2 linked regions of the Drosophila melanogaster genome follow. The protein of the gene in region 2 interacts with the protein of the main gene of each other region in a pairwise test. Each region holds a gene or a part of one and is shown on either strand. Other genes may lie near its edges.

What was found. Proteins that work in one complex are often made in the same cells at the same time.
Region 1: the proteins of CG43755 (region 2) and CG4496 interact in a two-hybrid assay, tested with the Drosophila melanogaster proteins (one large-scale study listed by BioGRID).

Annotation. Positions count from the first base shown.
Region 1 is NT_033779.5:7,184,980-7,193,033, forward strand, and holds CG4496 (uncharacterized protein), read right to left. Parts: upstream 5,032-8,054; 5' UTR 4,506-5,031; intron 3,090-4,505; exon of another isoform or gene 2,968-3,089; intron 2,663-2,967; 5' UTR 2,658-2,662; coding exon 1,853-2,657; intron 1,788-1,852; coding exon 850-1,787; 3' UTR 501-849; downstream 1-500. Other genes in the region: MICU1 (mitochondrial calcium uptake 1), read left to right, coding at 1-95, 159-313; CG4497 (uncharacterized protein), read right to left, coding at 6,423-7,071, 7,513-8,054.
Region 2 is NT_033779.5:325,977-333,095, reverse strand, and holds CG43755 (uncharacterized protein), read left to right. Parts: upstream 1-3,334; 5' UTR 3,335-3,470; coding exon of another isoform or gene 3,471-3,473; coding exon 3,474-5,522; 3' UTR 5,523-5,667; downstream 5,668-7,119. Other genes in the region: CG31921 (uncharacterized protein), read left to right, coding at 964-3,105.

The sequences.
Region 1 (8,054 bases), 6.9 Mb from region 2:
CCAACAAACATTGCAACATGTGGCCAAAACGGTGGCCATGGTCAATCTTTCGGATCATGTGGTGGATGTGGTCTTTACCATCTTTGATGAGAATAGTAAGTTCGTAATTGAGTGTAATTAGAATAACAATCTTAATTCATTCGGCAAACCTCTTTCAGATGACAACCAACTCAGCAACAAGGAATTTATTTCGGTAATGAAGAATCGCGTGCAGCGCGGATTGGAGAAACCCAAAGACACAGGATTCCTAAAGATGATGCGATCGGTGTTCAAGTGCGCCAAGGAAACCAAGCCTGTGCTGCTGGACATCTAAAGATCGTCACTATGTGGATTCTCCCGCTTCAAGCGCCCCAATCTTAGTCACTTTTTCCTACGCTTACGCTTTTTACTATTTATTTTTGTAGTTAACGTTTACATCAATCGATTTTAGCTCAATCTTTGTAATTGTTCGACCCCCGGCAGGTTGACGACTGTCTTCTGTATATTTCACCGTCTCTTGTGCACTTAACTCGTTTATTTTTTAATAAAAATATTATATTTATAAATAAGTACATCTTTAGGAATTTTTGCTGTAGCTCATCATTCAGTTCTTGGATTATGGCGCACGTTACATTTTACATTTCAAAAGTGTATTATAAGTGCTTAAAAAAGAATATGAATGAATAAATTAATAGTGATATAAAACACTTTAAAAAGATATGAATATATTAATAAGGAATGTTTTAATGATCCTTAATAGCTAATTTATATGAAATATGGGATTTTCAATCCTCTTTATGCATTAAAAAGAATGACCAAGAGTTTACAACTCTCGCGCAGTTAATATTAATTGTGGGCTCAAAACATTTTCTATGCCACATCTACGTCATCCTGCTCCTCGTCCGCCACATCATCAATGCTCATCCCGTACAACTCCAAGTCGTGCTTTTTAAGATGGGCCGTATAAGCATCCAACTCGGTGAATCGTTGCTGACACTCGCAGCACTCTAGGCAATCTTCCACAGAACTGTCGCCATCGTCGTCACTCTCGTAAATGGACGACTTGCGGCTACTCAGCTGATCCTGATGATTGTTCTTGTGATCCGAGTACTCCAGATAGTCCCTGAATTTGGAGGGACACCTCAGGCACTTGTACCAGCGATCCCTGACATGGGTGACCATGTGTTTCTTGAGCGTGGAGCACTCCCTGAAGGGTTTCCTGCATTTTGAGCAGCTAAATGGTTTCTCGCCAGTATGGATCATATAGTGGCGTTTAAGATTATGACGAGTTCCGAAAGGACGATGACACAAAGGACACGGATAAGATCTGCGAGTGCGACTCATGGACTTTCCAGCTATATTTCCATCGTTGCTCAAGGAAGATGAGGAGTTGGCACTGCTGCAGCTGCGAGGAAGTGGCGGGCGACTTGGCTGCGTGTGTGAAGGAACTTTTTCCGGTGGAGATTGAATAGGTGGTATTAAAGTAACCATTAAACTGGGTTGTGTTGCCACTTGTGGCTGCTTCTCATTTTCTAGAGCCGCTTCCTCTATTTCGTCATCATCCCCTTCCATCTCATCCGAATGTTCCTCCGTTGTTTTTTCGCCCAGTTCCTCTGGTTGAGGTTTTACCATAAGATTCTTGCTTTCACAATCCGCACACCTTGTAGAGTCCTGCTCCAAAGGTGCTCCCAAGTGACAGATCATGCAAATGAATTGTGGATCGTGTGAGTGCCTTCGACGATGCTTTTTAAGATCGCTGAATTCCCGAAAACGTCGCTCGCACAGATCACAAGGGAATGGTCTTTCACCTGGGGAAAATTTAGTAGAAAGTGATAAGTGGAGGTATTTGAATATTTTATGCGAAGTTTCGTACCTGTGTGGATCATCATATGACGTCTTAGATTGTAATTAGATTGCACTTTCTTCCCGCAGTCAGGACATTCGTACATATGCCTTCCCCTTCTGTTGGCACCTGGACGCCTCTTTACTAATCTCCTCGACCCAGAAGATTTCCTCTTGATGACATTGTCTGTCTTCTGTTCGTCCTCCTGGTCGGAGGGCACGATGATCACCAGTTCCTGTGGATTCTGGCTTCCATCCTGTCTCTGCTCATTCAGGACGCAGCTTACAGCGTTTGATGGAAGACTTACATCCTCATCTACTTCACTATCTTCATCGTGATCACTATCACTCAGTTCGATTTCTGCGACAACCCTGTGCACCCGTCTGGGAATCAGTTCGATATCTGGTGTTACCCTCCTAATGGATGAATTCCAATGGGCTAGACTCCTGGCTGCGCTGATTATGAGACCCCGAGGAGATTGAGCCTCCTCCTCGTCCAATTCGATTACCTCTTGATCTCTTCGCTTTTCGGCCTCCCGCCTTTCCTTCTCTCTTTTCTCCCTTTTCTCTTGTTCCATGATCCTTTTGATTTCCAACTCCTTTTCCCTCTGCTGCTGGCCGATTTGCCACAGGAAACTCTTGATTTTCACATCATCAATGGATATGAAGTTCTCCTCGGGCTCCTGGTACTCATATCTGACTGGATCGGGCGGTATTAACCCGCAGGCGGCGTCGCAGCTAGCGTCGCAGCAGGCGGAGGCAGAACAGCAGGGCAGCAGAGTGCAGTCCTTGCAGCAGTCCACGCAGGATGATGGTTTATTCAGAGCCAGCTCCATCAAATCTGCAATGTTACAATAAACAATTTAGAAAAGTTTAAGAAAGGAACGTAAGAATTGCACTATCATTGTACTATCAGAAAAAAACATTGCATACATGTAGGCGTGTTTTATATAAATCACATTCTACTATGGATAAATCGGCACTTATCAGTATTTCCAAGAAGCGTACTTTCTAGTATCGAATAATCACAATAAAACCTCTCAAACCATAAAAAAAGAATATATTATAGGGCACTACATTTCCATCGATCACATTGAATAGCCTGTATTGGTTTATATTAATATCCTGGACAAGTCGCATACGAACCATTGATAACCCAGGAGATTCCGATCGAATGAATTCTGCGATTGCACACACACCCCTCTCTCACACTTTACAAAGCTTCGCTCCTTTCTTTCGTTTTTTATCCGCAATTTGTGCGCTCGGCGCTGCGTCTGCCGTGCGAAGAAGTGAAGAAGAAACTGGATTCGCGATTCGCGATTTGCGGCTTGCCGAGCAGCAACCTCTCGGCAAAAACAACAAAACGCCGCAAAAGTCGAGCTTCGAGTTGACGCCGACTGCGCTGCCCGGCTTGTGAATCAGCGAAGCGAGCAGAGCAGCAGCAGCAACAACAACAACAACCATGTGGGCAGCGCTTAAGGCTTTTTTTTTGTGTGCACGAACGTGAGCCTTTAGCCCCCCTTTCCCACCACTGCCCATTGGCGTGTTAACTTGATTTTTCTTGGGGCCACGCAAGAGCGAAACACGAAAAACAAAGAAAATGCCCCACAACAACAACAAGGGCAACAACAAAAACAATGCAATTACAGCCGGAGCAACAGGCGCAGCAGCAACAACAACTCACGATTTTCAAGATTGCTCACAAGAGCAGGGGCGTAGGCAGGACATGAGAAGGGGTGAGGTTACCAGGAGTGAAAGGAATTCCTTACTATATATACTTGTATATAACAACGATCTAATCTTCAATGAAATGCCAAAAAAAAGATAATTTGCTTTTTGTTAAATAGGAACGATAATGTAGGATTAAAAATTTAAAGTATTTATTGTGGTTGGGGCAAATAACCCCCTTCGACGCAAATGCTTACGCCCGTGCAGAGAGGCGAAAAGAGAGCTGGAGAGTGATATCAAGGGGGAGGTGGGCGAGAGAGTGGGCGAGTGGGAGTACGGAAGCATGGCGAGAGCGCGGTGGGAGGGGGTAGAGGAGCAACGAAAAGGGAGCAGCGTGACCAAAGCGTAAAAGGCAACAACAACGGCGTAGCCAGCGCCAACGCCGCTGTCAACGTCAACGTCGACGTCGAAAAAAAATTTATTGACGTCCGAGCAGCAGCGCTAAAGTAAAACCGTGCGCCTTCAACTTTTTTTATTCGCATTTGCTTTTCTTCTTATTTTTAGCTTTTTGTTGTTGGTTTCCTTTTTATGCAAGTATATACATATGTACCTTCGTACATATGTACATATATCTAAGTAATTGACTTTAATTATTGGCCGCTTCTTTGGTTATTTTCCATTTTCAGGGCGATCTTCGGTAAAATGCCCATAAATGCCTGAAAACCCGCGATCGTTTTTTATGGAGTGTTAAAAAATGGCTTGCAGGTGAAAAATTACTAATATTCGCGTTTTGTTTAGTATAAGCCTTTACGATAAGCCATATACGACAAATTTGACTAGTTTTCGATTTTGAAAACGTAAACATGTTTCTCATCCTTCATCCTGTGATTTAAATAATTATTAAATTCAAATAAAATTAAATAAATTTAAAGCATTCAGCAATTAAGAGATAATCTTATACATACATACATATTCTAAATAACTAACCATATTTAAACAGGAAGAGACAAACTCACCTTTATATTTTTTCGCATCCGACTTATATAATCACTTTTGAGTCACTTTTGGCTGCCTAGGATAGCGTGTTTTCTTCTAATTTGTATTCCATTGGCGTGGGTAGTGGGGTTCTGCCCCTGTGATATATGGAGCCAGGTTCCCAGATCCGCTTCGAATGCTTTGGGCTAGGCTCCCGATTGCTTTGGTCTCTCGGTCTCGAAATATTGGCGATCGTGACTGCAGCGCTTAGTTATCTTATTTTGTTGTTTTTTTTTTTTTTTTTTTTTTGCTATAAAACTCGTTTGTATCGGATCCCCTCACACGTCCACAGACACCCACTCGACTTGGTCCGTGTGGAAACGGCCTGGTTTATCGGTCTCGGTCGGTCTCGGTCCCTGGCTTCTATCTTCTGGTCTGCGGGATTGGTTCGTCCGTGTTCAAGGCACGAGCATCTGGCCATGTGCATTGTGTCCTATCTGTGTGGGGAAACCAGTATGTCGCTGTTTGCGAATGGGGATTGGGGATTTGGGGAGCAATGCTCGGCTTCTCATTACCCAGGTGTTCGAACTTTTCGGTGCGTGTGTGTGCATATCGTGTATGTGGATACTTACTCGAGCTTGCAGGTGCTTCATGTGGCTGGCACGATATTACGCTGGGCGACGTTATTCTAGGCATACTCATAAAAGTTGTATATATAATAATATAAATTATACCTGCTTTTAATATTTATAAAGTAATGAATGCTATGGCCGTAGGAATTGTGCATTTTCTATCTGAAATATACTCATTTTGAATAGGCACTTTCTTGCTTTAGGTTTAGTATCTTATGTACATAAAATATGGTCAAGTTCACTGCCCGCGAGATACTTTTTACTTAAGTCGCTATTTATAATCTAGTTAACATATTTATTTAATTATTTATATAGTAGTTAATTGTTTAAGCCAACCAATGAAAACAAACAATTTGATCAATTGAAAAAATGTGTATTTCTTTTTGGATCCTTTTTAAGTATAACTTTTTTTCTTGAAACTATGTAAATTCGCTTACGATAATTAGAATCGGATCGTAAATCTATATAATATATGCGTTACTATATCAGTAAGGTTTTTGTGGGATACGCGCAGATATCCGCGCTAAATTGGATCACATTATAGGCAATATAATGCTGGATATATTATTACACATAAGCATAGAATAAACATATTTGGCAAAATTGGGGTTTTCTTCCTAATATCTAAGGGGTGAGGTGGCGACTAAAAACAAAACTAATGTACGTCGATTATTAACCGAAACATTGGAAATGGGAAAACATTCTATAACACAAAGATCGAGGCAATAAACTCTGGCTATATATAGTATAGTGAACCTTAGGCTAACATATTAAAACCGATTGATTCTAGGGGTGAAGGGAAGTGCGCAGCGTTAAATGATATGCAAGATGGTTTAGAACTTCAGACAAACAACTTAACTATGTACAACAAAGCTACGATCTAAAGTTAAGCAAGTCGGAGGATCTTTTGAAACTCTCAACTTAAGCGTGTGTGTGTAATTGGTTATTTCGGGTCGATTTTCTTAAACAAAAATCAAAGTACCACTAATTTATCTTTTGTCTCTTCCACGAAGATTTGTTTTGAACACTACGGGAAATATACATTTTAAACCATTTTTAATCCTTTACATATTACACCAAAGGTATTCTTAATTCAATTTTCTTTCTAAAAAAATATTGCTTGTGGTTTTTATAACAAAACCTTTGGTTGAGTTTTAGAACTTAAAAATGATCAAGCTATGCAATTTTATTCGAAAATATTTTCTAAAGCATTCAAAACAAATCAGCTAAAGTGCAGCAATGATTAACTTTTGGCTCCTGAGATTATAAGCATTTCTTAGAATTTCCTAAAATCGACCCCTAAACTAAGTTAATCTGTGTATGTTCTTAAAGCTTTTGCGGCACATCTTTGCTGACGGCTCCCGTTCGCTCGTGATTGACCACAAACTTCTTGGCGCCCGACAATCCCTGCTTGTTAATGTAGAAGCTCTTTTGGGCCAGCGGCGAACCACCGCCATCGGAATCAACCACCAGGCGATTCAGGAAAGTGGCAGCCGTCTTGGCACCACTATCGCAGGAGGATGACTCTATGCTAATGGTGGAGCATCCACCGATCGATGAGGTCTCACTTTTGGCATCGTCCATCAGAGTGGCATCATCCACCAGGTCGTTGACCAGCACCTGCGTACTGGACGATGCGGTGGACACTATGGAAGAGGTGCGACTGCGGCAGGAGTGCGTCTCCGATTCGGGTATCGAGATACCCTCGTCGATGCTTTGGCTCTGACTGCCGCCGGAAACGAGGCACATGGCTGCCTCCAGATTGGGACCGCTGCCAACACCTCCGGGCGAGGCGGAAACAGGCGACGGACATCCCGAGCTGCTGCTATTGTTATTTATCCCATTTCCGCTCACCGAATTGCTTGTGCACAGCTTCGAGATGAACAACTTGGGCGTGAGGCGGCCGTCAAAGGTTCCGGAATCGGGACTGGGACACACCGACGAGGGCGATTGGCACACCGGTGAGGAGCCGCGACTGAAATGGGAAGGGGAAGTGATGAATAAGCATGAAAACATAGATAAATGTTCGTACTAGCATCTAATTTTACCCTTACTCGAATCATTCAGCAAGTAACACACTTACTTGCACATATACTATTGCCAATCTAATATAATTAAATTAATGCTACTCGTACCTCAAAGCTATTATTTATAGCCGCTTCAACAACTGCAACTTGGCCGAAAATATCTAAATTTAAATTTTACAAGAGGCCCAAAGTAATATAATTTTAGACTTCAAGCAAATTCGAGCTAAAATACTAACAAAACTGATGTTTTAGGTGCAATAAAGCCTATTTTACTGAGTACAAATGATTGAGGTGACTATTTTTCCAAAATCAACCCACTAAGGTCAAGTTACTTAACTTGATACCACCCAGAATTACTTAGGTTCAAAACCCACTACTCAATATCTTACCTTTCCGTGAATATCTTCTTCACAGGCGGAGGTGAGTACACGCTCCAGTTGCTGCCCTGAGTGGGGTTATCGTCCAGCTCAAATTTTCTCTTCACGGGTCCCAGCTGGGATGGCCTCATGGCTATGGGAGACATCGACCGCCTGGTGGCGAAAGTACGTCTCGTCGGCGACGGGGAGTATGGTAATCTCATGCCCGCGCGATTGTTTGTGGGACTGGGACTGGAGCAGCTGGTGGTGCCGGTGGGTGGCAGGCTGACCTGCAGGGGATTGGAGAACTCGTCCGATTTGCACGACCAGTTCTCGGCCACCAGCGTGAGATCCTCCCAGCTCTGCGAAATTTGTATTTCCCGATGAACTTCCCGCTCATGGTTAACCTCCCGGCTGTTTAGATCTGCGCATTCCTCCTGCCGCAGCTGCGAAACTCGAGGCGTGAGACAGAGAGTGGCTCCATTGGCTGCCGTGGTCAGTGGACTATAGCTGGCCGAATACCTTCTGGCTCGAGGTGTGAATATATTGAAGACGGGAGCCGGTGAAACCTCCCT
Region 2 (7,119 bases):
CCATCGTGGCCTAGCCGTTATATCTTGTGTGCTCTCACATCGAGCGAATGAACTGAGAAATATGTCTGTCACATACGTCATTATTAAATGATATTGAAAGGCTTTCCCTCTTGAAGAAATAATGGCATCGTTTGGCGGTGATAAACGCAAACTTACCTACGACGGGAAAGCGGACGGGGTGTACCCCGCCTGGCTGCAGGTTACGCTTATCTGCCAGCGTCATGATTTGCTTTTAACTAAAAACTAATTCCGGCAAATTTGTCGCTCTGAATAATGTAAATGACTTTCGCAAACGGAGCTCCCGTCGCCGGCTCTTCAGCTTATTTCTACAGGTCTCTGTCCGCAATTTGCCGGCACCGTGCGAAGCGTAAAGCGGAAATGACTACGGCGATTATCTTAATTGCTTCTCACGCTTCGCGCTCAGCACTCACGCGCAGTTCGCCGCCCACTCAGTGCCTCCCAATCCTACGGGTCCCTTGGCTGCTAATCCTTTTGGCTCTGCCAGAAATTTGAATTTTAAGAAAGCTCATTATGTCCAAAGAGCAGGGGCGGGGCCGCAGGATGCTCGTGATAATTTTAGCCAGCTCAAACACAGTTATTGATTTTCGAGGTGCTAATAAAATAAAACTCAGCCCAAATGACACTTCTTAGTAAGTTATGAAAAGGAATTATTTGTTGAGAAAATTGCTGATTTCAAATCTATTTTCTTTCATAGAAACAAGCAACAAAAACATAGGTTTTGACTTTTGCTTTATAGTTTGCTGTATATTAAGTACTCCACGCGCTATCTGTCAGATGATTTTGTCTTATGTTAAAGGGCACAGATCAGATAGTTGTAAGAACCAGATGGGGAAAATACATTTTTTTTTTTAGATTTACAAAATTTATTCCTAAGGATACCAAAATAGGTCAGAGCTCTATATTCAAAATCCAGCTAATTCCACAGTCGCTAATTGTAAAAGTATGAGCAACAAGCAGTCGATCGACTCTCGCCGTGGATCGCACAATAAGCGAACCATACGCACCTCTGATATCGGGACTCTGGACACTGATATTATCCACACACCATACGAGTTAATGCGACAAAGGAATTGCAAAGCGGAAAAAATCATTAAATGGGAGCGGTATCCCAGCATTCGACCTCCAGTATCCAAATGCAGTAACGACCAAACCAGGAACTATCTGTCGGAGTCAGTAGATCAGGGAGGCTGTTTGGATCCCAGTACTAAGGGACAGGACGCTGTCAGGATCTGGAAATTAAGCCCGCACAAGAGCACTCTCAAGTTCTATGGAGTGGCCGATGGACTAAAGTTACCAGAGGCTGTTAAATTCGACAGGACTTTGACAACCAGCTTAAAACATGCAAACGGCTCCAGGAGACCAGTTCCAAAGCCACCGGTTCCACTAGAGCCAAAAAGACCTCCACAACCAGTTTCCCTGTGTCAGCCATATATCCTTAACAGGCAGACCCTCAAGGAGGAGCTTCAACGAATGCCCATTGCACTCCAGAAACTTAATCCCAAGGAGGCTTTTAATACGCTTTTTTGCGAGAAGCGTGAAGATCCGATGGATCCTCTGGGAGTGGAGGCGGCAACTAATCAAATCGTTAGCCTTAGAGAAGCTCTGGATATGGCGAAGCCGGAGACACCTTCAAAGCACGGATTGCGACGTAAGCACTGGTACTGCCCTTCAAAGTGTGGTGAGCCGGAAAACAAGTGCACTGTCTTTGAGTGGGCCCAGTACAAATTGAACCCGCCACCCTATGACAAAGCATTCTTCAAGTGGTTCCAGGAGCAGAAAGTGCAACTGGAGAGAGAGCCGCACGACTATGATGAGCTGTATAAGCGGTTCCAAGCCTGCTTCGAGGAAAAGGGTCAACCAGATCCCGAATGTGTTGCCATGGCGAAGTGTTGTCCGGATATGATCAAGGAAACGAAAGATGAATATGGAGTCGGAGAAGGGGGCACTGGCGGTGGAGGCGGCACACACAACACAAAAGAGGGTGATGGCCAAACGGGTTCTGGTGTATCTGGTCCTGAAGGTGTATCTCAGTCGGGAAAAGACAAAGAAAAAGGAAGGGTTAAGAAAAGTGACGATCTTGGAGATACTGAAAAAGATAAGGAAACCGATAAAAGTAAGAGCACGGGGAAAGATAATGAGAAGAATAAGGAGGACAAAGAAAAGGAAAAGGATAAGGGCAAGGATAAAGTGAAGGACAATGAAAAGGAAAAGGATAAGGGCAAGGATAAAGTGAAGGATAAAGACAAGGATGCGGACACTGATAAGGGCAAAAGCACAGACGAGGATAAAGGCAAACACAACGCTAAGGATAAAGACAAGAGCAAAGAAAAGGATAAAAATAACGATACGAATCAGAACAATAAAAAGAAAAATATAGCTGATCCTGATCATGAACAACTGAAGCCCAAACATCCTGGCAAGCAACCGAAGCCGCCGATCGAAAACACAACAGATACGTCCACTCACAACATATCCTCCTTTATTTCCAGGGATTCAGACAAAATATCGATTCAGGAAGATATTATCAAGGAGAAAGGAGATCCTTCAGCTAAGGATGGAGTGGAAGACAAGCCGACACAGCCGTCAAGTACGAAACCGCATAACAAGAAGCCGGCGAGCAAGAAACCACCAAAGGGGAAAACAGGCGAGGAAAAGCCCCAGAAGGTTGACGAGAAGGAAGTTAAAGAGTCCTGCCCACCTTGTCCTCCAGTGGGCTGCGCGTGCACAATTTGCGACTGCCTCTATGGCACGAAGATTCCAATTTCCCCGAAGATGCAATCGATTATGGCCGAGGAAAAACTTCGCGAAAAGAGGGAATACCTTCGGCGGATGCGGCACCGGGCGTACATGGATTGCACTAGTGAAAAGCCACTGGTCCCCCAGCACAAGGTGGATCCCATCAGCTGCGACAACTGCTTCTGTCTAGATCCCAAGATATCCGAATACTGTGAGTGCTTGAGAGCTCTTCAACACTTGCAGCGGCTCCTTGGAAAGGAACGTCATAGGATCGTAAACAACGAGCTTATATTCAACCTCGATGATCTCCGGCAGCGAATCGCCAACCGTATGTGCAAGTGCTTCTGAGAACTGTTTTTTTTTTGGTCAGTATAATTGGCTTGTAAGTGTATTTTTCAAAATTTGACAATTGAGTAATAAATATTCCCTAAAAAAAAGCATTTGGAAACCCTGTTTTATTATTAGAGGTCACTAAGTTTATGGAATGTAAATTCCTCAGTCGGCTCTGAAAGCCCTTTCAAAGGAAGATGCTGATATTTTTTGTAAGCCATTCTCAGTATTTTATCATGTGTTCAGCAAACAACACCTAAATTTAAAAAAAAAGCCTGTTTTATTTTGGTTCCCAGATTGAGCTTAACCGTATTTAACCATTAAACAATATTGGACCCGAATCGGATAAACACTCCAAGCTTGGGGAATAAGACGATACCGCAATGATGGGCACACGGGCTGCGGAGCCCCGAGGATCCAGGAGGTCCTTGGCAGGTCAAAGCATTCAAGAGCTCTCTGTGTGCCAGGAACCCGACCCGCTAAACACCTTTTTGGAGAAACCACTTACCCTGTATCAGTGGATGCGGTGGCGCAACTGCAAGACCCATAAGCCGCACCTAGAGGAAACATACCCCAGCATTCTACCGCCTATATCCAAATGTGACGATGCCAAGACTCTGAAGTACGTTGAAAATGCCATGGAGGCCAACAAATGTAAAGAATACGTCAAGGAAGACGTGCTGACCGTGTGGAACTACAGTCCCCAAAAGGAATCCTTGGTGTGGTATGGCGTTAAATCGCAGTACCCGTCTCCACAGGCCGTCCTCTATGACCGCGCTTTGAAAAAGAGCCTAAAGGCGGCTAGTCTTGCTCCAAAACCGCCGAAGAAGTCCAACATAAAGCCTAAATGGCAACTTCAGAAGAAGCCCCCCCAGCCTGGCGCTTTTGTTTTAAATCGAAAATGTCTGAAGGCCAAGCTCGAAAGGATGCCAAACATAAAACGCCAACTGAAGTCGAACAATGTCTTCTCCTGGCTTCACTGTCCTCAGCCAGCGGATCCGAGCAATCCTTTTGACGATAGCGCCGTCTATCCAGCGATCAGCATAGAACAGGCGATGGACATGGCGAAGCCGGAAAAGCCTCCCAAACATGGCCTCAGACGTAAGCATTGGTACTGCCCCCCGAAATGCGGCGAGGCAGAGAGCAAGTGCACCGATTACGAGTGGGCAAAGTACAAGATGGATCCCCGGCCCGACAACGAGGCATTCCAACGCGAGATGGCGAACCAAAAGGCCTTTAAACAACCGGAGCCCCGCAACTACGATGAACTGTACAAATCGCTGGTAACTTGTTTCGTTCAAGACCCAAATGGAAAGAATGATCTCTGCGAAGCGCTGGAGAAGTGCTGCAGGGATCCCAAAGATCCACCTGCACAGGGTTGCAGCGAGTTCGTTCCGGATGGCGCCGGAGGAGATGGTGAGTCGGCAGTTGATAAGGACAAGGGTAGGGATAAGGACGTGGACATTGACATACACGTGGACATTGACAAAGACGTGGACATTGACAAAGACAAGCGAAAAGACAAAGGGAAAACGGGTGATGGTGACAATGAAAATGAAGGTATCGGCGACGGTGACGGTGAAAAAGGTGGACAGAACGATAAGGGCAAGCACGAAAAGGGTGATGGAGAAGGAAACAAGGGATCTGAAAAAGATGGAGGGGAAAAAAAACCGGCAAAACAGAACGAAGTCAAAGAAAACGACAAGGAAAAAGGCATGGAAAAAGGCAAGGAAAAAGGCAAGGAAAAAGGCAAGGAAAAGAAGACCAAAGAGCCAAACTTTAGATCCTCTGAGGACCGTCCTCCAGTGCCCCAAAGTAAAGATACTACTCACGGGACCGAAGAAAGTCACCATGGTGACGGCGACTTCGGTGGTCCTGATGGCGATAGAGAAAAAGGCAAGAACCAGCCTGACGGGAAAAGCGGTATCGTAGATCAAAACCAGGGAAAAGACAAGGACAAGGGCAAAGGTAAGGAGAAAGGCATGAATAAGAAGGGAAAGGGTAAAAAGAAACCGAAAGATAAGGATGAGGATAAGAATACCAAGGACAACCGGAGTGAAAAGGACTGCCCCTGCGAGATTTGTTGTCCGCCAAAAGAAGAGGACACTCCGCTGATCAAGGAGATGCGCCGGCGGGATCGAGAGCGCCAGGTGCGCGATTACCTCCGCCAAATGCGTCACCGGCAATACATGGAGTGCAAGGACCTCAAATACCCGAGCCCACACCATAAGTGTGATCCAATCCAGTGCAACAACCAGTTCTGTAGCAATCCACGTATGCAAACTCATTTCGCCAGAGTCCAGGCAGTGCGAAGCTTGCAGCAGATCCTGCAGAGAAGAAATCGACAAGGCGATGTCAAAATCTCCAAGGATCTGGACTCACTTTTAGCAAGGCTGTGCAATAGCCTGACAATAAGTGATGGTCACTGCAGATGACCCCGCTTCGACTGTGTTTTGGTGATGTCTAACGAGTCCGAGTCCGCATTTGTAACTTGTGCCTAAGTTTTTGTGTCATAACGGTATTGTGCTAATTTAAAGCGATCTTAATTGCGTCCTTTAAATAAACTCGAATCCCAAGCTGAGCCCTGGACTAGTAGTCAATTCATTAATGCACACAGCGAAGGCGGGGTCTCTGCTCTTAAATGTATGCTATGCTTTTCGTGGCTTTCTGTTAATCACACATGGGCCTGCGAGTGTGTGTTTGGGCGTGGTCAGCGCCCACCAACTCGTGCGAGTAATTAATGAATGATTCCTTGCCAAAGGGTTTTTCGTTTCGAGACAGACAGCTTTTCTCATTAATTCTGATAAAGCTGTTTCGTTGGCAACAACACAAATTTTCTTAACATTTATGTACCCTAAATGTGTATGATTGAATTGTTACTCTACCACTCTACACTCTACAATTTCATCTATCCGAATATTGGAAATAAGTTCATTTTAAACCAGATAGTTTAACCTACAAAACTGGCCTATCTTTTATTCACGCCTTATTTAGCGGTTAGGTTTGTAGAGCGTTGTCAACATTCATTGTTTAAATTCCTCCGGTCCCGCAAAGACCGCTTTCATTTCCAAACTTTTCCGGCGCTGTTAGTTTGCCTCGGGCAAACTGAAAGGAAAACCAAACTCATTTGCCTTTGGCCTTGGGCCTGCCGCGCTCCACAGCAACAACTGCAACTATTATCGGGGCCGCGAGCGGTGGGCGTTGCCCTAGGAGGACCAACATGATTTATGCATGGCGAAAAAGCGGCTCTGACGCCCAAGGATTTCCCCATTGGAATAATTGCCCTAATGGCTGGGACCAAGAAAAAAGAGGAGCAGCGTTTGTAGGACTTTAATTTCATAATGTGCCGCAAATTGTCCAGATGGAATAGTGAAAGTTTCGAATGACTTCTTCAGGGCCAAGCTGCTTACATAGAATGCTGGTCAATTGCACAAAAGCAGGAGTCGAACCATCCTTGCCTTCTCATTGCTAAGATATATGTGTGTATTAGCGTCATGGAAAAAAGAGGTATTCCGAATCCGCACAACAATAAATGGAAAATTGTGTTAAGCTGAAAAAGCGTGACAGCCGTGAAGGCGCAACTAACTATGGAAAACTCTTGCCAAACGCACACATTACAATGGGGATACTGATTCCTATTCCGATTCCGGGCCCGGCGCACGTGACTTGGTTAGGAAATCTAAACGGGGAATTGGGCGGGTTCACCCTTGCTCCCATCCTCTGAAAATATCTTCACATACCTGACCCAGTAATTGGCTTTCCAAGAAGGCCAGGTAGCAGTGAGAAGCATTTACCCAAAAGATTAATATTGCCCAAAAGATTAATATACACTAGCTATACTTTACTATGGTATTTGTGTGCATCGCGAAAAAGTAACAACCGCCTACATTGCTCAATTTACGTGCTTAAAACAGAGACTTATTTCTTTTTTTATTTTTGCATTTCAGAAGTTTGTGGTTGCTGCGGTAAATGCTGCTGCTCAAGGAAGAAGGGAGGAGAATCCTGCGAAGTAAAGCCCATTATGACAAGGAC